Caenorhabditis elegans: one gene and its partners. The protein of the gene in region 1 purifies or fractionates together with the protein of each later gene. This does not show direct contact. Each region holds a gene or a part of one and is shown on either strand. Other genes may lie near its edges.

What was found.
Region 2: the proteins of cyn-1 (region 1) and glrx-10 fractionate together in Caenorhabditis elegans (co-fractionation; one large-scale study listed by BioGRID). This does not show direct contact.
Region 3: the proteins of cyn-1 (region 1) and lbp-2 fractionate together in Caenorhabditis elegans (co-fractionation; one large-scale study listed by BioGRID). This does not show direct contact.
Region 4: the proteins of cyn-1 (region 1) and asp-14 fractionate together in Caenorhabditis elegans (co-fractionation; one large-scale study listed by BioGRID). This does not show direct contact.

Annotation. Positions count from the first base shown.
Region 1 is NC_003283.11:14,352,130-14,359,124, reverse strand, and holds cyn-1 (Peptidyl-prolyl cis-trans isomerase 1), read right to left. Parts: upstream 3,050-6,995; 5' UTR 3,045-3,049; coding exon 2,781-3,044; intron 2,718-2,780; coding exon 2,403-2,717; 3' UTR 2,304-2,402; downstream 1-2,303. Other genes in the region: Y49A3A.4 (ShKT domain-containing protein), read left to right, coding at 775-1,094, 1,770-1,867, 1,912-2,225; Y49A3A.3 (tRNA:m(4)X modification enzyme TRM13), read right to left, coding at 3,415-3,843, 3,890-4,140, 4,183-4,675; vha-13 (V-type proton ATPase catalytic subunit A), read right to left, coding at 5,207-5,973, 6,074-6,302, 6,584-6,995. UniProt on the Caenorhabditis elegans protein: PPIases accelerate the folding of proteins. It catalyzes the cis-trans isomerization of proline imidic peptide bonds in oligopeptides.
Region 2 is NC_003279.8:1,046,161-1,053,667, forward strand, and holds glrx-10 (Glutaredoxin-1), read left to right. Parts: upstream 1-3,435; 5' UTR 3,436-3,442; coding exon 3,443-3,526; intron 3,527-4,244; coding exon 4,245-4,478; 3' UTR 4,479-4,567; downstream 4,568-7,507. Other genes in the region: Y34D9A.7 (PSP proline-rich domain-containing protein), read left to right, coding at 182-418, 1,796-2,026; Y34D9A.8 (Low-density lipoprotein receptor domain class A), read right to left, coding at 4,764-4,969, 5,756-5,865, 6,409-6,517, 6,634-6,694, 7,435-7,485.
Region 3 is NC_003284.9:3,256,900-3,263,987, forward strand, and holds lbp-2 (Fatty acid-binding protein homolog 2), read left to right. Parts: upstream 1-3,710; 5' UTR 3,711-3,902; coding exon 3,903-4,220; intron 4,221-4,276; coding exon 4,277-4,390; intron 4,391-4,436; coding exon 4,437-4,490; 3' UTR 4,491-4,571; downstream 4,572-7,088. Other genes in the region: lbp-3 (Fatty acid-binding protein homolog 3), read left to right, coding at 507-645, 692-873, 920-1,033, 1,102-1,164; lbp-1 (Fatty acid-binding protein homolog 1), read left to right, coding at 2,259-2,570, 2,629-2,742, 2,801-2,854; fbxb-71 (F-box domain-containing protein), read left to right, coding at 6,104-6,171, 6,215-7,088. UniProt on the Caenorhabditis elegans protein: May play a role in sequestering potentially toxic fatty acids and their peroxidation products, or it may be involved in the maintenance of the impermeable lipid layer of the eggshell.
Region 4 is NC_003284.9:6,442,025-6,450,921, reverse strand, and holds asp-14 (Peptidase A1 domain-containing protein), read left to right. Parts: upstream 1-4,257; 5' UTR 4,258-4,315; coding exon 4,316-4,412; intron 4,413-5,227; coding exon 5,228-5,356; intron 5,357-5,621; coding exon 5,622-5,758; intron 5,759-5,804; coding exon 5,805-6,200; intron 6,201-6,245; coding exon 6,246-6,405; intron 6,406-6,460; coding exon 6,461-6,545; intron 6,546-6,593; coding exon 6,594-6,690; 3' UTR 6,691-6,737; downstream 6,738-8,897. Other genes in the region: grl-6 (Ground-like domain-containing protein), read left to right, coding at 1-12, 61-218, 265-493, 538-660, 704-886; fah-1 (Fumarylacetoacetase), read left to right, coding at 2,014-2,097, 2,150-2,376, 2,870-3,114, 3,161-3,316, 3,442-3,695, 3,800-4,090; K10C2.7 (uncharacterized protein), read left to right, coding at 7,489-7,653, 7,698-7,820.

The DNA of each region.
Region 1 (6,995 bases):
TCCCGAAAGGGATCCAGAAAGCTAATTCTTTACTTATGAAACTGAACAATTGTTTTTCAAAACTTGCAGTCACATTTTCATATATGACCTATAGGTTTTCAAGGTTCAGAAAAAATTGATATTTTGTTTGTAGTAGAGATCGTGGCGGGACCCACTCGGAAAACAACGTGTGTTTTTGAACTAAAGTGTCGAGTTTTAACAGAATAACAACGATAGTGGCCGCTGCGGGGATTGAACCCGCACCTTGTGCCTTACCCTTACCCACTTGACCACACACGTCTCATATATATATATACAGTCGCTGACACGAGCCCAATTTTCGTCGGCTGCACGTTGAATGTTTAGCTGTTCATTTTTCCTTTGTGCCAGGTTCTCTAGGCGGATGGGGTTTCTCGGACATTTTTCCCTTCAAAAAGAGAGCCTCTCTTGAGCCACAACGACCCGTGGCTGACAATGCTGAAAACTTGGATGTAGTTGTTTCCCACCCCCCCCCCCCCCCGTCTATTAAATTTGGAAAAAAGGATCCTGAAAGGGATCCGAAAAACTTCATATTTTGAAGAAACCTTTAGTCCAAAACAAAAAGTTTCTGTTGAACCCGCGTTTAGATGTAAACCAATTGTACAAACAAGTGCTACTGTTGTTCTTTTCGATGCACGCTCACTCTTTTGTACATTTCTTTCTATTCGAATCTGAACTCTGGACAAACAAAAATGGAATCTCTTCACCCGAAAAGGGTCGTGCTCTTTCTATAGTCTATTCGAATACTTTTCAATAATGCTTCAGCTATTTTTATCCATTTCTCTAGTATTTATCCATACAGTTTTGTCTGAAAAATGTGCAGATGCACATCATGATTGTAGATTGATTGCTGTTAAATGTTTATCACCCAATCGAATAGAACAGAAGCTTATGGAAATTGCTTGTCCTCTTACATGTGGATATTGTATTAATTCTAAAACTGGTGGAACAACTACAAGTACAGTACCCACAGATGAGATTATCAAACCATTCAAATGTATTGATGAAGCTGATGATTGTGCAGATAGAGCCAATTTTTGTCAGAGAAAGTTCTACAAACGCATGATGAGTTTACAGTGAGTTTTTGTCTCATTTTTCTCCAGCAGCAAATTTTAGGAATTTTGCGCCAATACGGTACCCGGTCTTGGCACGACATGTATTTTCTTGTAAAAATTTCAATGTAAAAACACGTGCGGTTTTAAGGAGTACTGTAATTTAAACATGTATTCTGTTTTCATTGATTTTTCAGTTTTTGTTTAAAAAAAATTTTTTTAATAGAGTTTTCTTTTTAACTAAAAAACTGTAAAAATCGATCAAAATTCCCCAGAAAACCCGAATTATAGTACTCTTGAAAAGCGCACGCCTTTTATGGTGCGTCCATAGTCTGCGGAAAACGGGAAATTCCCGCTTGCGGAAGCGTCCATAGTCTGCGGAAAAAAACAAGGAGTTTCTCGCTTTGTTATTGGTCAATTTCAAAATAGTGGGCGTGTTCAACCAATTAGGGGCTGTAAAATTTTAAGCTGAGCAATGGGAAAACAAGAAACAACAGCTGATTGGTTGGCCACTCCTACTTTTTTGAACTTTGAGGAAAAAAAAAAGCGAGGAACTCCGGTTTTTCCGCAGACTATGGACGCTTCCGCACGCGGGAAATTCCCGTTTTCCGCAGACTATGGACGCACCATTAAAATTAACAAAAATTTGTCGCGTCGAGGCCAATTAGTGTATTATTAACTTTTTAAATGCAATTTCAGATGTGCAAAAACCTGCAAATTTTGTGTTGACGATGACGAGTACGAAGAAGAGGAAACAGAGGATAGCCGGGAAATTCATATTTCGCATTTGAAATCCAGTAAGCTTCTTCCGACCTGTTTAAACATATTCTGAAATATTTAGAAATGGGTGAAAAAACTGTTCAAAAATTGGAAGAGTTGAAAATAGTTGACAATGTGATTGATCTTCTGAGAAATGCAACAACTCCCACGACGTTCATGGAAAAGAAACCGCGAAGGTTCTCGAAAAGAATTGAAAATATCTCATCGGAAATGACTGATACTGCAGAATGCGTGGATCGAGCATCAGATTGTGAGAGGAATCAGAAGTTGTGCACACATAGAGCCTATTCTCCACTTTTTCGTAAAATTTGTGCGAAGACGTGTGAATATTGTACATCGGCAGATGATATTGAGTCTTCTGGTGAATTTTTATAGACCATTGCTTTTGCTTTTCACTTTTCTGGTAGAAAATAAATCTGTAAGACTTAATTTTTTCCAGTTATTTTTCGAAAAAAAACTAAAACTTTACTAATTAAAAACAATTAATTAAAAAATAATAACAATTTGCTAACGCTAATGAAAAATATTTTTGAAACAAAAAAAACAATGAAGTTACTCGCTCTTCAACTCTCCGCAATCGGCGATTGTGACAGTCTTGGCTGGGGCTCCGGATCGGGATCCCATCTTTTCGATCTTCTTCACAACAGACATGCCGTCGGTGACTTGTCCGAAAACGACGTGACCTCCATCAAGCCATGGAGTGTCGACTGTGCAAATGAAAAACTGAGATCCGTTGGTGTTTGGTCCAGCGTTGGCCATTGAAAGGCATCCTGGTCCGGTGTGCTTAAGATCGAAATTCTCGTCCTTGAATTTATTTCCGTAGATTGATTCACCACCAGTTCCGTTGTGGCGAGTGAAATCTCCTCCCTGAAGAATTGAATAATGTTAATGAAAAATAGTTAAAACTCATAGTTCGAAACTAAAAATTACCTGAATCATGAACTCTGGAATGATTCTGTGGAATTTTGATCCCTTGAAGTGAAGTGCAACTCCTTGCTCTCCGACGCCCTTCTCACCGGTGCACAATGCGCGGAAATTCTCTGCTGTTTTTGGGACAACATCGTTGAACAACTCCATGGTGACACGTCCTGCTGGTTCTTCTCCAATACTCACGTCGAAAAACACCTTCGGTCTTTGAGAGGCGAATCGAAGTGATTGACCGGCAAGTGAGGAGGCACGGAGTAGAAATTTCATTTTACCTGAAAAAAGAAACAAAACTAATTCAAAAACGTGCAGAACAAAGCCATAGGATTGAATTTAAAGTGAAAAAGAAAATAAAATAAATACTAATCTGACAAAGCGCAATCAAATTCTTTGCTTGCGCGTTTCTCGTGCACGCGAAAAACGCCAAGAGATTTGCGAGGTAATTCAAATAATAACAATTTTTGTCAAATATCCCACCGTACTATTTAAAGGCGCGTGGTTTAGAATGTGTAGGTATCGCATAGATTCTAATTTTTGTTCGAAATTAATAAAATTTTGTATATTTATTTGATTAAATGTTCAATTTGTTTCGATCTATTTATTAAAAAATATTACAAATCATTTTATTAAATGCGTGATCTTATTTCAAAGCTAAAATCAATAAATTTTCCGGTGATACTTCTGGCGGCACGTATTCTACAACTCTCGTCTTGAATCCAACACTTTCCAGCCAAATTGCTCGTCCGATTTCAAGGATGGCTTTCGCTCTTCGTCCAAGCTCTAATGGCGGATGAATTGACTTCCATCCTTCAGTTGCTTCTGTATCAACTGCTCCATTTGTTGCAAACGATGCAATATATCGAAGTGCAGCAAACGAAGCTTCATCATTCATTTCCCATTTCTCCAAAAAATCATGTCCTCCATATTCTGCGAATCGCGATTTGTGATGGCAACAAGGGATCAGAAGTGCAGCGTTGAATTGTAGACCACTATTCATCAACGATCGAATTCCAGCGTCTGTCGCGCTTCCACAAAAATGTTTACAGATTGCCAAAATCTTTTCAGAGTTCTAAAAAAAGATAAAGATTTTTTTGGATAAAAACTGTAAAACTCACCTTCAGCTCATCAATCTTGCTCAAGTCCATATGTTCAATTGAGCATCGGAAGCGTTTCATTGATAAATTCGGATTCTCTCGAAATGCAGCAGTATCAAATTTATTTCGTGATCCAGAGCGATCCATGAGAATATAATTTCCATTTGGCGCTGCTTTGGAGATCCAATAAGCTAGTTGACCTTTTCCAGCTCCGAGCTCGAACATGCAAGATTTGGAGCAAGTTGGAAGTAGCCCTGTGGATTCGATGTGACCTGAAAAGAAAATTATTAAAATGGAAATGCATTTTATAAAACCTAAAATAGACGAAATCTGGTATAATTGCTTCTTTTTCGTGTTGTTCAGATCTGAATTTTGTGCGATATTTTGCTCGACGAGCTCATTTCTTTGTTGCTCAACAATCAAACGATCCATTACATCCGTCTCATAGCACTTCCAGATCTTGTGCACAGTGGTACAAATCTCATCTTCAGTGGCTCTTCGATCAATTTTATCGGTGCGTTTGGTCTCGCCACGAATAGAATTTGCATCAATTTTGATATATTCTGCATCTCTGATTCTAGAATTACACCTTGTCAGATGAATCTCTAGATCTGCCTTCAGAATCGTATGTTTTCCATCATTCGGGCAAACCATACGATCAGTGTTATTCTGATCGTGAATTGAATGCTCTCCACAGAACCGATTTCCCTTTTTCACCAGCATCTTACACCGTCGCTTCTTAATTGGTAGAATATATTCACAGCAAGCGTTCTGCTGTTGTTGCTGCTTCACCGAATCCAATTCCATTTTGAAAACGAGACCTGCGTGCGAGATATTTGTGATTTTCCTAAAGTTTATTGCTATAGTTGAATTGGTGTGTCTCAAAAGTATTATACATATCACAACACAGTAAAACGTGGTTCGTAAGACTATACGGGTTGGTTGTCGCAAAAAAAGAAATGGAAGGGCACAAGTAAAGTAGTCTATTCAACAAGAAGAATACCAAAAATATTGATTAATATAAGTGAAATTGTTGTTTAAAACGGGAGTTGTAAGGCGACCAGATACATTGTGTGTGGTTGGAATTTTTTGAAGTTTAGAAATCTACAAAAGAGAAAAAAGGTGCAATAAATATCTGAAATTTGGAATGTCAAATCAATCAAACACTTTAAAGAGGATAAAAGTAGAGAAAGGAGGCGAATTGGGTGAGGGGATCAAGGAAAAACATATACTTTTAACTAAAAAGTACACGCTCAGCAAAACTGAACAGAATCTAGCGGGGAGGCGAAAACAGAAACAAACAAGAGAATCAATTTTAAAATTTCTAAAAACATTAATTTAATCCTCGAGGTTTCTGAAAGCGTTAGCCATAGCCTCTGCCAAATCTTCGTAATCCTTGCGAATCTTGGCTTCACCATCGGCAACTGGATCCTTGAATTTCATGGCAGAAAGCTGGTAGATCAAATCTCCCATGCTATCCTTGATGACGTTCCATGTGATCTTGTTATCAGATTGAGCAGTTGCTTCAACAGCATGACGGGCCAAGTCATAGAATCCAATCATATTCTTGAGCATACCGACAGTCTTGTAGAATGGGCAGAAACGATCGTATTTGGTGTATCCGTTCTGTTGCAAGAAATCGTCCTTGATGATCTTGGCAACCTCAAGTGTGACCTTGTCTGATTCGGCGAGGGAAGCTTTTCCGACGAGTTGCACAATTTCGGAAAGATCTTCTTCTTCCTGGAGGATCTCCTTGCACTTGGTACGGAGTGAGACGAACTCTGGGTAGTTCTTCTCGTAGAACTCCTCAAGAGCACGCATGTACTCGGAGTAGGAAATAAGCCAGTTAATAGATGGGAAATGTTTACGTTGAGCAAGCTTCTTGTCAAGTCCCCAGAACACCTGTACGATACCGAGGGTGGCGGATGTGACTGGATCGGCGAAATCTCCTCCTGGTGGTGATACGGCTCCGACAATGGTGACGGATCCTTCACGTTCTGGAGATCCGAGACACTTAACACGTCCGGCACGTTCGTAGAAGGAAGCGAGACGAGCGGCAAGGTAAGCTGGGTATCCGGAATCGGCGGGCATTTCTCCGAGACGTCCTGAAAAGAAAATTTGAAAATGTTCAGAGAAATTTCAAAAATATTAAGAAAAAAATATGAATTTCAAATATGAGTATATTTTAAACGGATTAAAACTCACCAGAAATCTCACGAAGAGCTTCGGCCCAACGAGAGGTAGAGTCAGCCATCATGGCAACGTTGAGACCCATGTCACGGAAATATTCGGCAAGGGTGATACCAGTGTAGATGGAAGCTTCACGAGCAGCGACAGGCATGTTGGAAGTGTTGGCGACAAGAGCTGTACGCTTCATGATGGAAGTGGTGACACCTTCGACCTCCATGGTGAGCTCTGGGAAATCACGGAGTACCTGAAAAACAGAAAAAATTAGAATTGTAAAAAATAGGGGCAAAATTGTTAATTTATAATTTAAATGCGGGACAAAACATTGGAAAAAGTAAGAAACATAAACCTTTTAATTTTTAATTGTTTTCTAAATTTTATTCTTAAACGAAACTATTCTGACTAAACTTTTTCACAATTTTTTTTTGAAAAATTAAAACTATTGATTCCAAAAACGAAATTATGGAAAGGCTTTCTTGTTTATTTGATTTTTTCTAATGTTTTTAAAATTATTTTCAAAAAAATTACCTCAGACATTTCGTTTCCACGCTCTCCGCATCCGACGTAAATAATAGCATCAGAGTTGGAGTATTTGGAGAGAGATTGGGAAATGACAGTCTTTCCACATCCGAAAGCTCCTGGAATGGCGGTGGTTCCTCCTTGGACACATGGGAACAAGGCGTCGAGAACACGCTGTCCGCAGAGAAGTGGATTGTTGGCAGCGAGCTTCTCTGTGACTGGTCTTGGAGATCTGACAGGCCAGATTTGGAGCATAGAGAATTTCTGCTTGCGTCCGGCGAATTCGAGCTCGAGAAGGGTGTCCTCAACTGTGTATTGCCCGGATGGAGCAACGAAGGTGATGGTTCCGCATGCACTTGGTGGTAGAAGAATCTTGTGCTTGATGAGCAAGTTCTCATCGACGGTTCCAATGATGTCACCT
Region 2 (7,507 bases), on another chromosome or scaffold:
AAAAAAGGTTCAAAATCCAAAAGATTTCTGATTTTTTTGGTTTTTGCAATTTTCTGTCTAATTTTCACTCCAATTTTCATAGATTTTTCTCTAAAATCATTTGCTTTGGAAAAAATTTGAAAAAAACACTTTTTTTTCTGAAATTCAAAAAAATGTCACTTAAAAAAAAATGTCATTCCAGGAAGTTGCCAGAGATCACGAGGGCACCGAGAAAATCCGAATTCGTGAGGAACGTCACCAGCGATCCGAACTTCGGAAGATCCGAGAACAGCAGAAAGAGGAGGAGGAGCAACAACAACGAGATAGTGCAGAGAAGGTGGAGAAGGAGGTTACTGTAGATCAAACCATATCGGAGGTGGCAGCGGCGGCGGCGGCAGTCGAGGAGAAGCCTGGGACCCCGGAGCCCGTTGGGAGAATGGTAATTTTGAAAGAAAAAAAAACCGATTTTTTACCAAAAATCAATCATTTTGCCATTTACCATTTTTTCCAGAATATTGATTTTTCCAAAAAAAAATTTTTTCTCAAGAAAATCTATTTTTCCAAAAAAATTCGATAACTTTCCGAAAAATCTATATATTTCCAGTTTTTTTTTCAGTAAAAAAATTTCCAGAAAATCGATTTTTCCAAAAAAAAAAATCCATATTTTTCTAAATTCAATACTTTTTTCAAAATAAATCGATATTCTTTTCATTTTGCAAATATTAAATTATTTTGTCTAAAAATTTTTTTCCAATCGATTTTTGTAAAAAAAAAGGTTTCCAAAAATATAAATTTTAAAAAAATCGATATTTTTTTTAAAAACCTGTTTTTTTTCCAAAATTCCAAAATCCTTTCAACTTTTACCAATTTTTTTTTGAAAAAATTCGATATTTTTCAAAAAAACTTTTTTTTTAAACCAAAAATAAATATTTTCCAAACTATTTAAGTTTTTTTCGAAAAGTAAATATTAAAAATAAAATAAAAATGAACTTTTTTCCAAGTTCATTTTTATTTTTTGAAAAAAAAAACGTTTCTAAAAATCTTTATCCTTTAACCAAAAATAAATATTTTCCAGAAAATCGATATTCTTTATAGATTATCGATTTTTTTCCAAAAAAAAAAAATGTCCTGAAAATAAAATAAAATACACATTTTTCTCTATAAGTCTATACTTTTTTCCAGAAAAAATTGAATTTTCTCAATAAAAAATTGATATTTTTCTCTAGAATGCTATATTTTTCCAAAATAAAATCTAAATTTTATTCCAGAAAAAAAGGTATTTTTTCTAAAAATCAAAAAAAAAATCCAAGAATTCTATATTCTCAAAAAACGGCATTTTTCAAAAAAAAAATCATTTTTTTCAGTAAAAAAATTTTTTTTTTCTAAAAATCAATATTCTTCCAAAAAATTGAAATTTTCATCGATTTCTCTCCCAAAAATATATATCTCCAGAATATCGATTTCCAATTTTTTTTTCAAGGTTTTTTGTCCAAAAATCGATTTTTTCTTTCCAAAATTTTTCCAAATTTTTTTTCCGGTGAAATCAATATTTTTCAATATATGTAATTCCAGATTATCGATTTTTTCTTTTCAGAAAACATATTTTTCCAAAAAAAAAAAACGGATAAGAAAATCGATTGCCGGAATTTTGTTGAATACCGGCAAATTCCCAGTTTGCCGATTTGCGGGAAATTTACAATTCCGGCAATTTTCCGATTTGCCGGAAAAAATCGTTTTCCGCCCACCCACCTGATTCAAAAGTCGATATATTTCAAAAATTGATATATTTCCAAAAAATAACAATATTTTTCCACAGGGAGAATCAATTTCGGAATTCATCGGCACCCCGATCTTCTCCCGCCGTGACGTCACGGGTACGTGGATTGAGGATACTGTACCATCGCTCGAAGCGTTTTCCGTCGGCATTGTGCCATTCGAGGCGAAAGAGGAGGAGAAGCCACGTGGCATTTTCAAAAAAATTATGAGTACTTTGAAAGGGATCACTGGAAGAAATAGTGGAGATGATGAGATGAAGAAGAAGGAATAATTTATTGATTTTTTTTTTTTTTTTGGATTTTCGACTTTAAAATTAGCCTAAATTTATCCTAAAATTATCCTAAAAATTAAAATTTCACATGGTTGACAAATTTGCAGTGGAGCGCATTTGCAGAATTTTTTTTTTGAATTTTTTTTTCATAAAAAGCGTAACATTTTCCAAATTAATGGGATTTTTAAAGGAAAAAATTATCCCAAAAATTTTAATTTTCTAATTGAAAAAAGTGTTATTAGCCCAATTTTTAAAGGTTTTTTTTGCAATTTTCATCAGAAAAAGCGTTAAAAATATCAATTTTTCGTGAAAAGTTGATGAATTCTCTCAAAAACTCGGCAAAAAGTACCGCCAAAAATTCAAATTCTCCAATTTTTCATCTCTACCAGCAAATTCGCGATGGAGCGCATTTGCAGAGTTTTTTCAGAAAAATCGTAAAATTTTCCGAATTAACGAGTTTTTTTTTAAGTAAAAGTGATCCCAAAAATTCAAAATTTTCCGATTTTTGAAATTTTTTTGGTGCAAAAAAACTAATTTTCAAATTAAAAAAAAGTGATTTGTCTAAAATAAAAAGCGTTTAAAAAAACCTTTTAAAAATTTTTTTTCCCAAAATTCACGTGGTGCCAGGGGCTGTCCCATCGACGGTTTGATCTACAAAAAATGCGGGAGTTTTTCGCCCAAAAATGTTGTGACGTCAGCGCTTTCTTAACCATGCGAAATCAGTCCCCGCGCATTTTTTGTAGATCAAAGTAGATCAAATCGAAATGAGGCATTCTGACACCACGTGAAAATTTCAAATTCTCCAATTTTTCATCTCTACCATCAAATTTGCGATGAAGCGCATTTGCAAGGCCTTTTTTTAAATTTTTTAAAAACTCCTTAAAGTTAAAAAAAATCATTTAGCTTTAGAAAGCCCAAAAATTAAAAAAAAATTTTTTTTTAATCGAATATCAAAAATGCATTTGTGCTCCACCGCACGGCGGTAATTTCGAAATTTCTTTAAAATTTTTTTTATAAATTTCTGTATTTCACAACTGTATTTTTTCCCGAATTTTCCTCGCCTAATAACACTATTTGTCATGATTCTTACGTCATTGTCGCCGCCGTTTCTCTTTTTCTCTCGCCACTCTCTCATTTCCATACACTATTTCCACTCTCATTTTTATCATCATTTTCTTCAGTTTTTGCTGCTTTTAAAGCCTATGTTTTCCCTTTTTATATAATATCGCAGAATTTTGTTTTTGTAAATTTAATATATATATATATATATTATTTATTTGATGATAATGTGATTTCTAATTTTTTTTTCCCCAATTTTTTTCAAATTCAAATTGTCTCTACGCTTTTCTTATACTTCATTGCCTTTTTTTTTCAACAAAAATTTGAGAAAAAACACCAAAAAATTTCAGAAAAACCATGTCAAAAGCCTTTGTCGACGGACTTCTCCAATCTTCCAAAGTTGTCGTATTCAGCAAATCGTACTGCCCGTACTGCCATAAGGTAACACAATTTTTCTGAAAAATTTGAATTTTCCTCGAAAATTGCTTTTTGTCATCAAAAAAAAAAAAAAATTTTTCTGAACAATTTTGTCCTAAAAAATTTGCTTTTTTCTGGATTTTCAGCGAAATTTCCCAATTTTTTTGAAAAATTTATTCCAAAAAAAATTATTTTAAAAAATCGTGTGCAACAGAGCGCAGTTGCACCAGTATGAAATTTTGCAAATTCAATTTAACTTAAAAATCAAACATTTCTGTATTTTTCTGAAAATGCAGAAATTTTGGGTCTCGTAGCGATTTTTTTTGAGAAATTTTCGGAAAATTGAAGACAACGGCAAAAATCAATAATTTGCGAAAAAATCTGTCACGGGGTTCTGGCATTCCTCATTGAATTTTTCGCGCTCCATTGACAATCGGCTGCCGGACAACGCGTGGGAAAGTGTCGTGTACTCCACACGGACAAATACATTTAGTTTTACAACTGAAATCGAGCCGCGACGCGACACGCAACGCGCCGTAAATCTACCCCAGATATGGCCGAGCCAAATGGCCTAGTTCGGCAAAAACTCTTCCATTTCAATTTATGAGGGAAGCCAGAAATCCGTGAAAATTGAGAAAAATATTATCCATTTTCAAAATCTTTTTTTTGCAAAATTTTTGAGTCTCGGATACATTTTTTAAAATAATTTTTTGAGAAAAATTAAAAAACCCCAATTTTTCAGGCTCGTGCTGCTCTTGAATCGGTCAACGTGAAGCCCGACGCTCTGCAATGGATCGAAATCGACGAGCGCAAGGATTGCAATGAGATTCAGGATTATCTTGGCTCTCTAACCGGAGCCCGCTCGGTGCCACGTGTCTTCATCAACGGCAAGTTCTTCGGCGGCGGTGACGACACAGCGGCCGGAGCCAAGAACGGAAAACTCGCCGCACTGCTCAAGGAAACCGGAGCTCTATAGAATTTGAATCGCCATTAATTTTTATGTATTTGATTTATTTTTTTCTTCATAATTCAATGACACAACCCGAGATAAAAGTGAGAAAAGAGAGAAAAGTAGTACAGCCAAAACACGTGGTGTTAGCAGAGTGTCTCATTGCGGCTTGATCTACGCTGATCTACAAAAAATGCGGGAGAAGAGACGCAGAGTTCTCACATTTTTCTGGGCAAAAAATTCCCGCATTTTTTGTAGATCAAACCGTAATGGGACAGCCTGGCACCCCACGTGCCAAAAAAAAAACGAAATTCAAGAATACATAGAACTGATTAGAATATCGTCTTCGTCGGAATCCTGTTGCAGTATGCTCGGGCCCCCGTGCCCGCCGCCACGTCGATTTCGAAATCCGGATTTTTGTCGTGATCGCCGACGAATCACAGCGACTACGGCAACCGAGAGAACGAAAAACGCGACAAAGGCGAAGAAAATGTGCGAGTATTGGATTGTGACGGTGCCTGAAAATTAAAAAAAAAAGGTTTTTGATGAATATGCGCGTAAAATTCGGTGTGTTGCGAAGTTTGGCTAATTTTTGGCGCATACCATGAGATTTACTGCAAAATTTTCAAAAAAGATATGTTGTTTCACACGTGGTGCCAGGCTGTCCTATTACGGTTTGATCTACAAAAAATGCGGGAATTTTTGTGCGAAATCGGTTAAGAACTCTGCGTCTCTTCTCCCGCATTTTTTGTAGATCTACGTAGATCAAGCCGAAATGAGACACTCTGGTGCGCCACGTGGTTTTACATAGTTTAATTAAATTTGCGCGTAAGATATGGTGTAATATGGTGGCTTTCAATTTGAAAGTTTGCAACAATTGCGCGTGAAATATAGTGTTTTTTTGAGGTTTGGGATTAGTTTGCGCGTGAGATGCAGTGTGTCCTAGTTCAACAGAATCTTGCTCGTATGGCGTAGTATTACAGGGAACACAAAATTCTGAGAATGCGTATTGCACAACATATTTGACGCGCAAAATATCTCGTAGCGAAAACTATGACTACTGTAGCGCTTCTGTTGATTTACGGCCGCTTGATTTGTTGAAATTAATTAAAAATTTAAATTGAATGTCGCTGTGGCTATTCGAAAATATATTCATTTCGACAATCGAGATCCCGTAAATCGACCTACAGTAGTCATTCAAAGAATTACTGTAGTTTTCGCTACGAGATATTTTGCGCGTCAAATATGTTGTGCAATACGCGTTCGCGTAATATAGTCTTCGAAATAAGAAAAATCAATAATACCTGAAGATTCAGCGGTTATCGTCGTTGTCTCCTTCACCGCCGCTACGGTGGCCTGCACATTTGTCTGTCGTGGTTGAGCAACTCCCTCACGAGCCATCGGCGCTCCGCCCCTGGAATATCGATTTTATTGATTTTTTATAGAGCGCAATAGACTCTACATATTTGTGTACACAAACCCCATATCGAATAACTCCGGAAAATCGGTGATCTCCTGTTGAAGAATATTCGAGAGAAGCGAATCCGCCATTTTATCGATTTTTTTTGGATTTTTTTTTCAACAGGAAGTGGAAACTGGAGGAAAAACGAGCCAAGGAATTGGGTGGAAAATTTGATAATTTTACTGATAAGGAAAATGTCGTCAAAATGCTATATAAAATATAAATTTTATTTCGTAACAAGCGTGAAAAAATGTACCGCACAGCAATGACTATTTATTGATTTTTACAAGCCGCACGTGGTGTCAGAGTGTCTCATTGCGGCTTGATCTACGCTGATCTACAAAAAATGCGGCAGAGTTCTCAACTGATTTCCCATGGTTCAGAACGTGCTGACGTCACATATTTTTGGCCAAAAAAATCCCGCATTTTTTGTAGATCAAACCATAATGGCACCACGTGGAGCAATTTCTCATTGGAGCGTGTTTGCAACCTAACCTCGCTTCGCAATTCCACTCGTCGGACCCGTCGGTGCACTGCGTAATCCCGTCACAAACGTCATAATGTGCTATGCATTCTCCGTTTCGACACGCCCATTCCCATTCCCCTGAAAATAGAAGACATGGCTTAAGTTTCTCCGAGATTTCTAGGCCATTGAAAATCAAGCCGATGCGCTCCACTGCAAAACAGTGTGCAGTGGAGCGCATTTGTATCGCAACTCACGTGGACATTGTGGTAGAACGGGTCTTTGTGCCAGACGATCAATATTCGATTGCGGTTCGTACTGAAAATTTTTGGGGAATTTTTCGAGGTTAGAAAGTGCGCTCCACCGATGTTTCACTTGAATTCAATGTTTCATGGATTTCTGGCTTCCCTTATAAATTGAAATGGAAATTTCTGCCGAACTAGGCCATTTTGGCTCGGCCATATCTGGGGTAGATTTACGGCGCGTTGCGTGTCGCGTCGCGGCTCGATTTTAGTTGTAAAACTAAATGTATTTGTCCGTGTGGAGTACACGACACTTTCCCACGCGTTGTCCGCCAGGCGATTGTCAAATGAAAAAGGCCAGAACCCCCGTGTTGAATGTTTTTGAAACTTCTTCATGAGTAAACGCGCTCCATTGCAAATTAAAACGTGTACTTCACGTGGACAAGTCAATTTTTGATTTTTTGGATTTTTTTAAAATCAATAAAAAATGGGTCAAAATCGACACAATTCGTTTGAAAAAAGTAGAAATAAAGTCGATTGTAATCAAAAATCAAATTTTCAAGTCAGAAAGAACGCTCTACTGATCTTTAACGCCGTGTACTCCACGTGGAAAAGTGAATTATCGATTTTTGGGCTCAATTTACTGGAATTTTCAAAAAAAAAAAAAAAATCTTCTACAATAATCTACAGCAGTGGTGGGCGGCAAACGATTTTTTCCGGCAAATCGGCAAATTGCCGGAATTGAAAATTTCCGGCAAATAGGCAATAGCCGCCAACCTCTGATCTACAGTACCCGCTACAAAATTCCCAACAAACCTGCGAATTAACACGGTAGATCATTAGAAAAATCAGAAATTGAGCGTTCATAGTTGTGAGCGCGCGCGCGGTG
Region 3 (7,088 bases), on another chromosome or scaffold:
TATGTAGTTGCTACTTCTGTGTGCTAACCAAATGTATTATCAGTTTTCTCCGACCGTTCTGCGCGGAGTCATATTATGCAAGTGATGATGGTGCAGAACAACACTGATAACAACTGTCCGACCACTACTTCATCTTATCATTTCTTACGCATCCCGTTTTGTCAGTTCTATTTGAATATATTAGTTGTAATAGCAGAGTGTTTTCCTTTTATTTTAGTTGTTTTTTCTTATTCTCCAGTTGTGTTAATTGTTTTTTTTCTAACTTTTTTCCAATCTTTCCAAATTCCAATGTAATATATTTTGTGCATTTTGTGTGCTCCAGAGTACACTCAAAGCATAGGGCTATGAGGCAGATGCTCACAATTTCGGATCTCAATGATACCGAGCCATTGGGCCTATGTAATAAATCAAGTGAAGAAGAAGAATATAGATAGATCTAACCCCCAAGATAAAATCATTGTCCATCTGCTCTTGCGACCAATCGATTCTTCATACATTTACTCGTCATGAATCTGTACTTAACTTTATTCTCCTTTTGCTTTTTAGCAATTATGGCTGAGGCGGCTTCTGAAATTCCAGAGAAGTTTTTTGGAAAGTATGATCTCGACAGAAGTGAGAACTTTGACGAGTTCCTGGCTGCTAAAGGTAAAAATAATTGATAGTGTACATTTAATAGTAATTTTAATTACAGGAGTGAGCTGGTTTGTGAGACAAATGATCAAATTGGCAAAAGTGAGCAAGGTGCTGGCCAAAAATGAAACTCCTGGAAAATACAACATGGAAAACTTGACTTCAAAGAAGAATACACTCTACCACGGGTGGGAGCTCGGGAAAACTTTCGAGGCAGAAGGCCTTGATGGAGTTGCACACAAGGTTTCAAAAAATATTCAAGTGTCTTAAAAATATTGTTATATTTAAGATTACCTTCTCCTTCAAAGACGGAGTTTTGTCTGAGCACCATATCCGACTCAACGACCCAGAACACAGCGCGGAGACGTACTACTACACTATCGAGAACGATCAACTTGTCATGGTGTGTACTTCGTTCTCTTTTCCTTTTTTCCATTTTACAACTTCTTCCACTAATTTTCTCATTTTTAGAAAATGGTCAACAATGGAATCACGTGCCGTCGTTGGTTCAAGCGATCGACCGGAAAGAAGTAGAAATTATAAACACAACATAAAACTGAGCTCTTCACATTATTAATCACAGATGTTTATTTTTTCTGTCCTTTTAAATAAACAATTGTCCCTTTAGACTTGCTCTGCCATTTTCAAAAATTGCATGATCTCACAAAAAAAAACGAATGAACAGATGGAGGTCAAACATCGAAAGTGGACATAGAACAGATTAGCCAAGGTACAAAGTAGATGGGTCTATTGTAGCCCAATAAAACGTGAGAATCGTATTGGCCAATTTACGGGAAAGGCCATCTGGAAAACAATGATCTCTAATATGAATTCTGTCATCTGGGAATAGGGCTCAAACATTTGAAAACCAGAAAAAAAAACAATTTTGTGTCTTAAAAATTTTAGCTAGTGTTGAAAGTTTAAAAATATTTTTGAAAAATTGTGTTTTATGGGATCCTTACAATATTTTTTCGTTTTCATTTTGAAACCAAAAAAACCCAAAACCGAATGTACCGAAATTCTGCGGCAAAAAAACTTTTTTTCTGAAGTCGTTTTCTTTTTCTGTGGGTCGAATTCTATATGAATAAAAATTTTCATAATTTTTTCCGGTAGTTTTTTTTGGTTTTCCAAAGTCCCAGCCCTGCATGGATTGTGTTTTGAACTGCAGACCTGAAGACCTGTTGCCGTATTCAATGTTTGCTGAAGAAATGGAGAATCATACTATAGACTATGAAAGATAATGATAACATAAAATTATATCAACCAAATAAGGAAATTGCAATTCGATTCGCCTTAAACCTTCAACGAAATTATTTTGAGTTGATTGTTCGGTCTTCCAGGACCCGATTCATGCAACTACTCTCTTCAAAAATATCCGAACTGACCCCAACACACGGAACAAAAAAAATCTGCCCCGAATCATTTATGCTACACTCTCTTTCGATACCCATCCGAGTCCAGCCGTCCATCTCTGCTAATCGTCAGCGCAATCGACATGTGGGCTGCACTTCTTGCCGTACAATGTTGTTTACGACTGTGCAAGTAGGCGGGGTCCACGCAGACGACGTCGACACACAGCCCACAGTCCTGCCAAGACGTCAGTCGTTCATTCATCGACCTAGCCAACCATGTGCGCTAAAATCGCTCTTCTCCTGGTTCTTGTTGGAGCTGCTTCAGCTGCTGTTCTCCCTGATAAGTTCTATGGAACTTTTGACTTGGACCATTCCGAAAATTTTGATGAGTATCTCACTGCTAAAGGATACGGATGGTTCACTCGTAAACTTGTCACTTTTGCCACATTCAAAAAGGTGTTCACTAAGACTTCCAACAAGAACCTCTTTGACTACTCCAACTTGACATCAAAGAAAGACGTCCATTACAAGAATGTCCAACTTGGAAAAGCCTTCCAGGGAGAAGGACTTGACAGCACCAAACACGAGGTACGCTTTTGCAAGTTTTCAAGTAACCTTTCAAATTGATTAATTAATTAATTTTCAGATCACTTTCACCCTCAAGGACGGACATTTGTTTGAGCATCACAAGCCACTCGAGGGAGGAGACGCCAAGGAAGAGACCTACGAGTACCTTTTCGATAAGGAATTCCTTCTTGTGGTAAGTTATAAACATTTTTTAAAAACCAATTTCACATTCTCATGATTGTAATTTTCAGCGCATGAGTTTCAATGGAGTTGAGGGACGCCGATTCTACAAACGACTCCCATAAATATTCAGAAACTATTGTAATTTTTGTATGAATTGATTTCTCAATGTACTTTTTTTGCCACTGATGTATTTCAAGTTTCAAATAAACTGAAAAGTTAGATCGATTCTGTAATGTGATATGGGGCAAAAAATAAGAAAAATAACGCGGTTCTTTTGTGATTCATGCTGCATAGCCCTCTGAAGTTTTTTGTTTGGGAAATGTTTTCACTGGTTTAAAAATGTACATATTAGGAGTTCTAGAAAGCAAAGTTGATTAAAATTTGAATTTTTGTTAACGTGTAAAAGTGACACAAGTGTTAAAAAGAAAATTTTGCACATTGAAGACTTGAAATTAAGAATCAAATTATCAGATGAATTGAACCTATGCTGGAATCAAAACATGAAAGTTCGATTGCGCCGTGATATTTGCAAAAACGTAATTCAAAACACAAAAAGGACACAACCAGTTTAAAATTTCGGGTGGGTCAAAATCCAATCACTTTTCGGTTTTTTTTTTTCGATGTTGTGTTCGAAAGTTTTCTATAAAATGGAGTTTTTTCTACTCTTTCGTATGCTCTTTTTTATTTTTTTTTTCCTGATTTTCACATTTAATTTCTGAATAAGGTACCATTAAATAAGAACCATTTCTCAAAATACATAGTTTAATAACTAAAATCATTGGATCTTGAGGACCTCATTAAAAATATTTTTTTAAGTCTTAAATTGTTTGATGTGCAGTCAAAAAACGTAGCAGTTTTCTTTTCAATTTTCTTAACGCGTTTAAATTTATTTCGACAAAATTCATTCTGCATTTCAACAAGTAATCGATGAATTGTTTTCGTTCGGTCTCTTAAATTTTGTTTATTATTAGCTTCCAGGTGTTGTGAGGATTTTTGAAAATCAAGTAAGTCCGATCATCAATTTGTTGTTGCCATCCGTGCCGTGACCCTATATTACACACGTGGCTGACCTCAGTTTTATTGTGTTGTCGATTGAGCAACTGGGCGGAGTCTTGATCAATCTTCATTTCTGTGGACACTTCAGTCATTCAGTCATTGACTTGAACAAAAATGTCTTCGAAATTCCTCATCTTACTCGCATTTTGTGGAGCTACCCTTGTGGCTGCCGAACAGCTTCCAGAAAAGTTCTATGGAACCTTCGACTTGGATCACTCTGAAAATTTTGATGAGTACCTCACTGCCAAAGGATACGGATGGTTCACTCGAAAGCTTGTAACCTTTGCGACATTCAAGAAGGTTTTTGCCAAGAATGCTAACAAAAACCTCTTCGACTACTCCAACTTGACATCGAAAAAAGATGTGTTCTACAAAAACGTCCAGATCGGAAGCAAGTTCGAAGGAGAGGGTCTTGATAACACCAAGCACGAGGTGAGTTCCATGCCATGTACTTTTTATTTTATTTTTATTTCAATTATAATTTTCAGGTTACCTTCACTCTCAAGGACGGACACTTGTTCGAACATCACAAGCCACTTGAAGAGGGAGAATCCAAGGAAGAAACCTATGAGTATTACTTTGATGGAGATTTTCTTATTCAGGTAAAATTTGGTCAATCTATTTGACATACATTTTTGTTAATTACAGAAGATGAGCTTCAACAATATCGAAGGCCGCAGATTCTACAAGAGACTCCCATAAAAGTTTAAACTTATTCTATTGAAATTTTCTTAAATTTGCAATTCAATTTCATTTCCGAAAAAAATAAATTTATTTTCAAGCAATCTTCTGATGTTTTCAATTTGGAATCTTGGTGGAATGTATTATCCCAATTATTAGTTTTTAATTTTCTACAGATTAAAAAATGAACATGTTGAGGTAAGAAACTTAACACTAGAGTATGATCTCGCTGCCAAATTCTGCAACAACCATTATTTAAACTACAGTTGTCGTTTTCTTTATGTGATTTCATCTAAACGTTGAGTAGCACCAGTGGGAAATTGGCAAAAAACTACGCCTATGGTGCCAAAAGGACCAAATATCAATAATTTTGGAAAATTGTTCATTTACTGTTGAAAAGTGACTCCGTTATTGCCACTCATAATTTTGAAAGTGGACCAAAAAAATTTTCTACTATTTTTACACATTAATTTTGTTTCAATTATTTATGCAGAGATAAAGATCACTTAGCACCTATATTCTACATGTTCTATCATACAAAAAAAAGTGCCATTAATGTGCTAAAAATGTGCTGAAAATGTGCTAAAAATGTGCTAAAAATGTGCTAAAAATGTGCTAAAAATGTGCTTGAAATGTGCTAAAAATGTGCTAGAAATGTGCTTGAAATGTGCTAAAAATGTGCTAAAAATGTGCTAAAAATGTAATTTTAAAAAAAACTTTCGTACAAGCTATTATACTTGATTGGCATTTTTTGGTATTTTTGACTATGCTAAACAGTTTTCTGAAATAAAAAAGAATGACTCCATATGACTTTCCAGGACTTTTGAATTTTTGAAAAAAACCAGCTTTTATATATTTTTATCATTAAAAAAAAAAAACTTCCGTACAAGCTAATATACTTTGATTAGCATATTCTGGTATTTTTGACTATGCTAAACAGTTTTATGAAATAAAAAAGAATGACTCCATATGATTTTCCCATACTTTTGAATTTTTGAAAAAATCAGCTTTTATATATTTTTATCAATTAAAAAAAAAAACTTCCGTACAAGCTAATATACTTTGATTAGCATATTCTGGTATTTTTGACTATGCTAAACAGTTTTATGAAATAAAAAAGAATGACTCCATATGATTTTCCCATACTTTTGAATTTTTGAAAAAATCAGCTTTTATATATTTTTATCAATTAAAAAAAAAAAACGTCCGTACAAGCTAGTATACATTTTTTGGCACTTGCTACAATAAATACATTTTTTAAAAATTCCTTTACAATGCTTTACCTTCAAAATTTTCTTTGTCTTCATTTTGCATTGCAACTGTATGTATTACGAATATGTCTAAAAATGAGAAATTTTAGTCATATCTTACGTGCAAAGGGATTGTCACGTAGACAACGAATTATTGTAACTCACGGTAACGCGGGTTAGCATTTCCAGTGGTCAACTGTGTCTTCCCATACTCCACAAGCCAGCTGCCTAATATCGATTCAGAATAGTCCATTTTCCCTTGTACGTCAGAGTCATCTTGCACAGTAGTGGATAGTCTTACGTCAGTTGCTCTTTTTTTCTTCCACTCGCTTTCGTCCACTCAACCTTCTCCGTCATTTTGTCTGTACTGCTCATTCTGCTGTAATGAATATTTTACAACTACCTTCAAAGGCTCTCCGATGCACACTTCAACACTGCGATCTTCTGGAAATGTAAGTTATTATCTTTATCATAATTAAATTTAAACAATTTCAGATTGAATTTCTCTTTTGTCTCGAAAAAGACAAAACAGTTTGCAAAATCTCTGCATCGAAACGTCTCTGTGGTTGAAATAGACATTAATGATTTTGTGGAAGTTCAAATCTGGAAATTCGAAGTCACCCAACGCCACGATCGAGTCAAGTTCACATTTTTCTCCAACATGCATCGTAGTCTTCCGGTCGAAGATCCCCAGTTTTTTATGGATCAACTTATCCACAACGGAGTTATTGACGGTCCAGAAAAAATGAAAAAGTTCGGAAACGGAGAGCATTTGAAAATCCAAAGTTCAACAACTGGTAGAGTGATTTGGATGAGCATTCCGAGCATGGGATTACGAAAGTATGTTGATCACTTACTGGATGTTTTAAATCGAGTAAAACTTGATGAATTCGCAATAAACAAAGACAACTATTGCACTGAATCGATTTGCGACGAGTTCCGAGATTTCGATATTCGATGCTTTATGAATCCCAGAAAAATGTCAGACTCATTGTTTCATCAAAAGATTATGAGGCACATTGCAAGTAAATGCGACTCGCTTGATCTCTGTACTCCAGTATTTGAACCTAAAACTCACACAACTCAAGAGTTCTTGATTCAAAACTTTGATGCCTTACGAGCGATGTACTTGTACAAATATAATCTTAATGATATTCTCTCCACAAACATTTTTTTAGTTTTTGGGCAAGTTGCTATCGACTCGAATCAGTTGAATTTGTTCGTCAGACATTGGATAAAGGGATCAAACCCCAGGCTCGAGTACTTTCAAATTGATGTCCCGAAAGGAATGAGCGTAGAGGACGATCTTTCAGTGATCTTGGACAAGGTGGACTTTCAGAAGCAACCAGATAGTTTTGTAAGAGACTTT
Region 4 (8,897 bases), on another chromosome or scaffold:
GCAGTTTTCTTGGTAAGCAATGAATCATCGAATATCTCTTTTACTCATTCGGATTTTCAGATTTCATTTCATTTTGCCTTTGCTCAGTACCCATTTGGTAGAGGAGGGTGTGGAGGATGCCCGACTCCAATGTGCCAACCAAGAATGCCATGTGCTGCACCGATGCCAATGCCGATGCCAATGCCAGTCTGTCCTCCACCTCCACCATGCCCGGCTCAGTAAGTTTCAGCAATAAACCTAGAATATTCACATGCTTGTTCACAGATTCTGTCCACCACCACCAATTTGTCCTCCGCCTCCACCACCGCCAATGCCATGCCCTCCACCACCTCCACCAATGCCGAGACCATCTTGCCCGTGTATGATGCAACGACCATCGTTCTACCCATCATATGTTCCCCAGTACTATCAGCCAATGATGCCTCAGCCAATGCCAACAGCTGGAGGATGTGGAGGTGGTGCAGTTGTACCATCAGTCAGAATTCCAGCTCAGGTTGGTAGATTTTTGAAAGAACCTTTAAGAAAATATCATTTCAGAACGATTGTTGCTGTGGCTGCTCATCGCCATGCAAGTACAAAAGTGTGAGACGCGCCGCATTTGCAGCCAAAACAATCGACCCTTCGTGTAACAGTTCCGAACTGAAAAACATTATCCTTGATGTGAGTACACTCGTTTTGCACGTCAAGCCTACTCTCTTTTCAGAATATTAGCGAAGATGCAAGTGAATCAAAGAGGAACATTCAGAAAATTGCCGAAGAAACACTAGGCCATGAGGTGAACGTTATTTGTGGTACAGGAGAATTCAGTTACATAGCTCATACCGATACATTCTGCCAAGCATTTAAGGAAGATGTCACCTGTTATGCATTCAAACCATTGCAATAAACTTATTTGGTGTTTTTTTTTTGTCTGTATTTCCTGCTTTTTCTGTCCACTACTGGCTTCAATAAATTAATTTTTTGAAAGTTTTTAATTCAATTTGATTTCGTAAAAGCAAAATCCAACAAGATATAAAAAGTTTGAAACTAACACTTATACTCAACGACAGTAGAGAAAGTGTTAATTCAATAGTTCATCGCTGTTGGTGTTTGTATTTTCAAAATGTTTAACCTTAAAAAATGTTTCTTGTGTATTACAACCCTTTATTATAGAAATAAATTATTTTTATATTTTTTTGACCATTTCACTCGCCGTACCTGTTTATCAATTACCGATAATATTTAACAATACAACTCACCTTTAAGTTACAACTTTTGACCTGCTCAGCAGGCTGTGGTGATCTGAAATCTACAGGTTAAAAACCTACATCCGATTGTGAAACGTTTTCTCTACTCGAAATGGTGGTAAGAGTTTTCTAAGATACAAATTGCTAGAGACCGTTTTTCTTCTGATATAAAAAGCGTTTTAGTAGCAATTTATCTTCATGGAATTGAGATTTCTATATTATAAACATAAGCAACTCTAAAAAACACTAGTTCTCCACTCTTTAAAATCGTCATACTCCTACTTGCTTTTTATTCATGAAACAGTATCATTGCCAATGCAAACAAACAACTATAGAATAATGCCATCCAAACATTCAAGAAAAAATCATCACGTGACTGTTTCGCAATTCAATTTGCATCCAATGTAGTTTTCTCTCTCTTGTCAAAACTTATCTGATATACTCTATTGTTTTATCCAATTGACGTCACTATCATCATCTTATCTTTTCAATTAGATTTGTGAGACCTTATATAGCGGTTTCAGTGGTGCACATCTGTCATTGTCACTGTCTGTGTGCAGTCATTTTTTTTGGTTATCGTTTTGTTTTTATTGGTGGTCGTTTAGTCGTGTATCGACCTTGGCCTATGCGTGTACGACTCCTTTTTGTATTTGTCACTAGCACCCTCTCCAACCTGTATGCTATTTTCTGTTTCAACGCCGCATGCGTGTACAGTTTCGGAGACATAACAGACTGCTGTCTACTCAACTCCATTTTTCAAAACTTGTATTGCTTTGCAGGCTAAATCATGAAATCCTTCGTTTCTGTTCCTCAAAACTCGGATTTCCCAATTCAAAACTTACCGTATGGTGTTTTCTCAACAAAGGCTGACGTAAGTGTATAAATAATTATTTCTAAAGCAAAATTAAACTAAATATTTTCAGTCTTCCCGCCACATTGGAGTTGCAATTGGAGATCAAATCCTCAACTTGGCAGAAATTGCCAATCTTTTTGACGGACCTCAATTGAAGGCACATCAGGATGTTTTCAAGCAGAGCACATTGAACGCGTTCATGGCACTGCCACGTCCAGCCTGGTTGGAAGCTCGTGCAAGAATCCAACAACTGCTCTCAGAGGATTGTGCTGTTCTTAGGGATAACGCTCATTTGAGGTGAATAAGTTGGCAAAACAAATTTGAAAAAGTTAAAAAGTAGTACAAAGTGTGTCTGATAATCTACTAACCAAATCTAAACAACTATTTCACAAGTTTTAATTTTTATCGTTAGTTTATAATTGCAAAGTTGAATCAATACTGTGCAGCAAGTTGGCAAGTTGAAATGTATATAGAAGTATGTGAAAATGTTCGGTCAATCTGAAAAAAATTATTTTATTGAGAACGCCTGGAAACCCGTCAAAGTTTTTGAAATACTTCATTTGACTTTAAATATATCGTTAAACTTTGTTGGCGACTTGTAGGCATTATTTTTAAAAAAATCTATTTCAAAATCGAGAAAAACCTACATTTTTATATTAATTTTTGATTTATAAATTGAAATCTCATACTGTAATTAGAAGCTTTGTACGTTTTGCGCACAACTTACATATAACTCTGTTTAAAACAACCAAGAAACTTTGTAATAATATTCTTATGTTTTTATTTACAGAAGCCGGGCTCTTGTCGCTCAATCCGATGCTACAATGCACCTTCCAGCTCAAATCGGAGATTACACCGATTTCTACTCCTCCATCCATCACGCCACCAACGTCGGAATCATGTTCCGTGGAAAGGAAAATGCTCTGATGCCAAACTGGAAGTGGCTTCCGGTCGGATACCACGGAAGAGCTTCATCAATCGTTGTATCTGGAACAGACTTGAAAAGACCAGTTGGACAAACTAAGGCCCCAGATGGTAAGATTTAGATTTGCACCAATAATGCAAATGTGTCCGCTTTCAGCTGAGGTTCCATCGTTTGGTCCATCAAAGCTTATGGACTTTGAGCTCGAGATGGCGTTCTTTGTGGGAGGTCCAGAAAATGAATTGGGAACTCGTGTTCCAATCGAGAAGGCTGAGGATCGTATCTTTGGAGTTGTGCTCATGAACGACTGGAGTGGTGAGTAACGATGTTAATTAAATATCAAACAAAAACATTTAAACTCGACATTTTGGTGACAAGAAAATTCAACAGTAGTTATTTTCAAGTTTGCTCCATACTCATCCGAAAAAAAACTTTTCCAGCTCGCGATATCCAAGCTTGGGAATACGTTCCACTCGGCCCATTCCTTGCTAAATCCTTTGCCACAACTGTTTCTCCATGGGTCGTCTCAATTGAAGCTCTTCGTCCATACTTTGTTGAGAATCCAGTACAAGATCCAGTTCCACCAGCATATCTCCATCACGATGACCCATTTACCCTTGACATCAATTTGGCCGTCAGTATCCGTCCAGAAGGAGATGCTGTGGACCATATTGTCTGTAAAACTAACTTCAAGGTATGTTCAAGTTTAGTAGAAACGATATTATCTACACTGTTCACTGTAAATTGGATCATAAACGCTCGTTAAGGTTTTCTCAACTACAATACTGTAATTTCTAGCATTTGTATTGGACTCTAAAACAACAACTTGCTCACCACACCGTCAATGGATGCAACCTCCGCGCTGGAGATCTTTTGGGATCAGGAACTGTATCTGGACCAGAAGAAGGTGCATATGGATCCATGCTCGAGCTTTCGTGGCGCGGAGCCAAAGAAGTTCCAGTTGGCTCAGAAATCCGAAAGTTCTTAAAGGACGGAGATGAGGTCAACCTTTCTGGAGTTTGTGAAAAGAATGGAGTCAGAATTGGTTTCGGAGAGTGCCGCGGAAAAGTCCTGCCAGCCGATATCTAAAATCATCGTAATTAAATCGTTTTGCTTTTTGTTTCATTCTCTCGTTTGTTAGTAGTATCTCGTCGAATAAAGTTCTGAAGCCCACGAAAAGTGATGAAAGTGGAAGTGTGCAGTGTCGAAAATGATAGGGGTTTGTCACGATTTTTTGGTTTCTATGTTATCAGTTCAAAGCATGAGCGAATAAATAGGAGAGCTGGTTGCTTGGAAATCATTCTCAGTTCAATCATGATCAAGACAATCTTGCTTTTGGCCTTTGTGGCCTCGACCTCAGCTTTTGTGATTCCTTTCAAAGTTCATGCTGCAGTTACCAACATTACCAAAGGTGAGTATGAGAATTTACAGATTTGTTTCAGATAAAGTGAAATTTGGTGTTTGTAAATGGAAGCCTTTACAAAATTTAAAATGAACATTTAAGCATTATTTTTGATTTTTTTTTTGAATTATTTTCCGAAGCGTATAAAAATTTCGATCACGTTTGATTGAACATGAACATTTAATGGTACATTAACGTTATATTTTATTCAAAATAGGGATAGACACGTAACTGGGAGTAATAATAGTGGAGAGCGGTAAGTTGTTTTAAGAGCACGTATATATATATCCCGAAGCCACATAAAATGTACAGTGAATGAACAAACATTATTTCCTTTACGACATTGAGTAGAATGTATTTAACTTAGAATAAAGCTTATAACTTACAAACACAATGTTGCGGTTGATTTCCAATTATATATTGGTTGTTTTGAGAATTATGAACTGAAACTTGTGTGGTATGATTTTTCCATCATTTCCAACTATTTGAAAACATTTTATATCAACTTTTAGAAAAAAACTTTTTTTTTTTGATTTTTTTGGAATTTTTAAAAAGGGGTATTTTGGCACTTTCAAAATGTCGTAACTTGATCAAACCTGCTCTGAAGCAGCTAAATTTTTGGAGTGATCATCTGTAACTATTCTCTATCGAATGTATATAGTGGCGTAACGAAGTCCGATAACGAGTTCAGAGCCTTCCCTTGTTAGGAATAATGGTTTTCTAAATCTATTACATTCCACTAGTGAATTGTTTTGTACTGAAAATTACTTTTGGTATATAATACACAAGTTCCTTAGATTTTCAAAACTGAAGTTTAATTCCAGGAGGACAAACTCTGGAGCAAACCTCAACCTTCTTCGTTGCTAACTTGACCATGGGAACACCAGGACAACTTTTCACTGTTGTCATTGACACTTCGACCGCTGACATTGTTATTCCAGATATGAGTTGCAGTGAGTTTCAACCAATCGCTTTCTTGATTGCAATTTGATAGTTTTACGACTTTTAAATGTATAAAACATCTCGAACATAATCACGAAATGATGACAGTTTTTGTCAGCTTTTGCTGACAATTTGCCCTATTATATCGGCACTAAAATCGTTTTTTATGTTGATTATCGGTCAAAGACTATCACTTAGTGCACATAACATTCCTAATTTTGAAAACTCCACACTACTGATAAGAGTGAAAAAGATACAAACTGGAAAATGTTTCAGAGACCGCAAATAATTGCTACAACAAGAGAAGATTCAACCAAGCAAAGTCGTCGTCTTACTATGCATATGGAAATAAGTACACGTACAAGAATAATCTTGGAACTTTCCAAGGATTTGATGCAAAAGACACTGTTGTGGTAATACTTTCAATTTGTTTTTTAAGTCCTAACAATTTTTTTCCAGATCGGAGACCGCAAAACTGATTTGATCACCATTCCAGGCGTGAAGTTTATGCAAGCTACCGACCTCGGACTTTTGATGGATGGATTGGGTGCTGATGGAATTTTGGGATTGGGATTCACAGCCTCATCGCAAATCGGTGGAAACTCACCATTCGTTCAAGGTGTTAACGCTGGAGACATTTCGGGCACATTCTACTCCATCTGGCTCGAGCACTTCAACCAAACTGATGATCTCGGAACCCACGGAGTTATTTACTACGGAGGATTTGATCCAGTGCACTGTGCTCCAAACCCAACATACGTCCCATTGGCTTCTGCATATGCATACCAACTCACGATGTCTTCCTTCAAAGTTGTAGGATCATCCGCCACCAACTCCAACAACAAGTACATTCAAGTGAGTTTATTGCATCTCTTATGTATCAACAAATATAAATTTCAGACTTACCTTGACACCACCACCGCCCAAATTGGACTTCCAAAAACTTACATTAGCCAGGTGTTTGACTCCCTTGGCATCAGCACAAACGTTATGAATGCTATCTACCCAACAATTGTTCCATGTAACACTAAGATCACCCTCACTTTTGGATTTGTTTCTGGTATGTCGATTTCAGTGTACCTTCCACTTGTTTTACATAATTGCTCTATTTTCAGGTACAACAGTCTCAATTACGGAAAGAGATCTTGTTATTAGCTTCTTCGGAACATGTAGACTCCAAATTATTCCAACCACTGATAGGTAAGGAATGATTGAGAAGATGGATTGAATCATGCAAAAATTTTTCAGAATCATTCTCGGTCTTCCATTGTATCGTGGACGTTGCACATATTTCGATCCAATCATGCAAAGAGTCGGGTTCACTCCAGCGCTTCTCCAAGATTAGTGTTAATATTTGAAAGTGGAATAAAAATAAATCATTAAATTTAAAAAGTGCCGTTATGCGGTTCATATTCAGATTCATTTGAGAAATTTCTGAAAACATTGTAAGACTATTGGGATAGTTGGGAATGGGTTTAAGAACATATTTGATAGTATTTCTGATCTACACATAGTAATGTTCTACAAAGTTCTAGAGTGTTTCAAAAACTTTCCCAAACTTTCAGAACGTTTTATATTCTCAAATATACAAAGATTTCGAAGAAAGTATCTTAAACTTTCCAAAACTGATCATTTTCTGAATGTTGAAACGAACTAACTTGCCTACTATGTAGTTAGAAGCAGATTCTACATAGGGCGGTTGGAAGAAGTTAAACATAGTAGGCTAGTTAAAGCATTCGCTGTTGCATGTGCAACCGGTCGGTCCAAATAACGTCAAACAAACAAAAGGGACTAAAAAATTTTTCTATTTAAAAATTATCAGTAGAAATGTTAGTAAAAACATATCATTATTCTGTTCTAAAGCTTATTGGATAATGACTGACGAAGTTTGACTCATTGTATCGAATGATCATTTTTTAATGTAAACATTCACATCTAACAATTACTGTATGGTTGTCATAAAATACAAAATGACATTTTCCATTTAATAAAAAAGATCATCAAACATCACCCGACATATTCAAAACGATTTATTTGTTACATTGTCTGTTTTGTATTGTGACTCAAACTGTCTCATAAATACTGCTTGAAACACATAACTATATAAGAACCTGTCTTGCAACAATTCATTAAAATCTTCACCATGCTAATTATACTTGTTGCGGTTTTTTTAGCTCAAGCTAATGCCAGAGTGGTTGACATAGCAACCGACATTGTGAACATGGCTGCTATAAAAGACCAACTAAATTACGAATGTAAAGACGTAAAGGAGCAAACTCAATTCCAAAATTGCGGCAGCTCATTTTCAGTAAGTTTCCCAGAAAATAAGTTGGTGACAGTAAAATATTTCAGAAAAGTTTGGCGATTATCCAAAACTATCAAAACAACTCAACAAGACAACCAACTCTTCATGAAGAGCTGCTTTCACTTAATAATGTAGTGAGATGGATGTCATTATGTACAAAAAAACAATGAAAATGTGTGTAGTGCACAAATAAAAATTCATGAAATTACCTCTAAAATCACTGAAATCGTTCATAGCTTTTCCACAGAAATGAGTCCGAGTGACTGTTGGAAAGAGGTACTTTTAAAATGGTTTTTTTGGTGTATGTAAAATGATTGTTCAGGACGAGCTATATCACCAATACGTTTCTTGCTCAAACAATTATGGATTAACAAATAGAAATACTCTAAAAGAGTTGGACGTTCTCCGTCAAAATCAAGACGCAATTGTCACCTGCTTAGATCAACACATGGAATCTTCTCAAGGATGCAACAAAAAAAATCGGCACGAAGTCGCAACAATCGTGAACAAAATTGTAAATTTGTATAATATGCTCAATCCTGATCACAATTGCAACTAATTCTCTTCGTTGTTGACACTATATGAGATGTTAAATAATGAATAATCGAGCATTTCAACACATATTGAATATACACCGAATAATGATAAATTTCACGGAACAAATACGATTTGCAAAATATACTTTTTAACTGCTTCTCTAAAATTTGAATATGCACTTTGTCATCGTCGACATTTCGGAATGTGTGAAAATAGAGCCAATGCAGCAAAAGGAAACAATTTGAAAACACTTGCTTTAAAACAATTAGTTTATTGTTGCAATATTTTAAAAAAGTGTCCAAAACATGCTAGTACTTTATTTCAGCTTTACGTGTTAAAACTTTACAAATACCGTGATGTTTTAACTGATATGAAACATTGCTCGCCAAATATGATGTTTTCCACTTAAACAAAACAAATTGCGCGTCAGATATGATGTTTTTAAATGAAATAAAAATTTTGCGTCAAATATGATGTTTTCATCTGATATAAAATATTGAGTGTCAGATACAATGTTTTCAACTGAAATTAACAAATTTTTAGTGATTTCAAAAAACATACTGTAGGTATTCCGAAGAAGTGAAAAATCGCAATATTGAGTTTAAAATACTGTTGTGAAGGTTACTCTCTTCTTGATCTAAAATAATATGTAAAGTAAAAAGAAGTTTGAATTTATGAACATCAATATTCACATTGATATAATTGAAAAT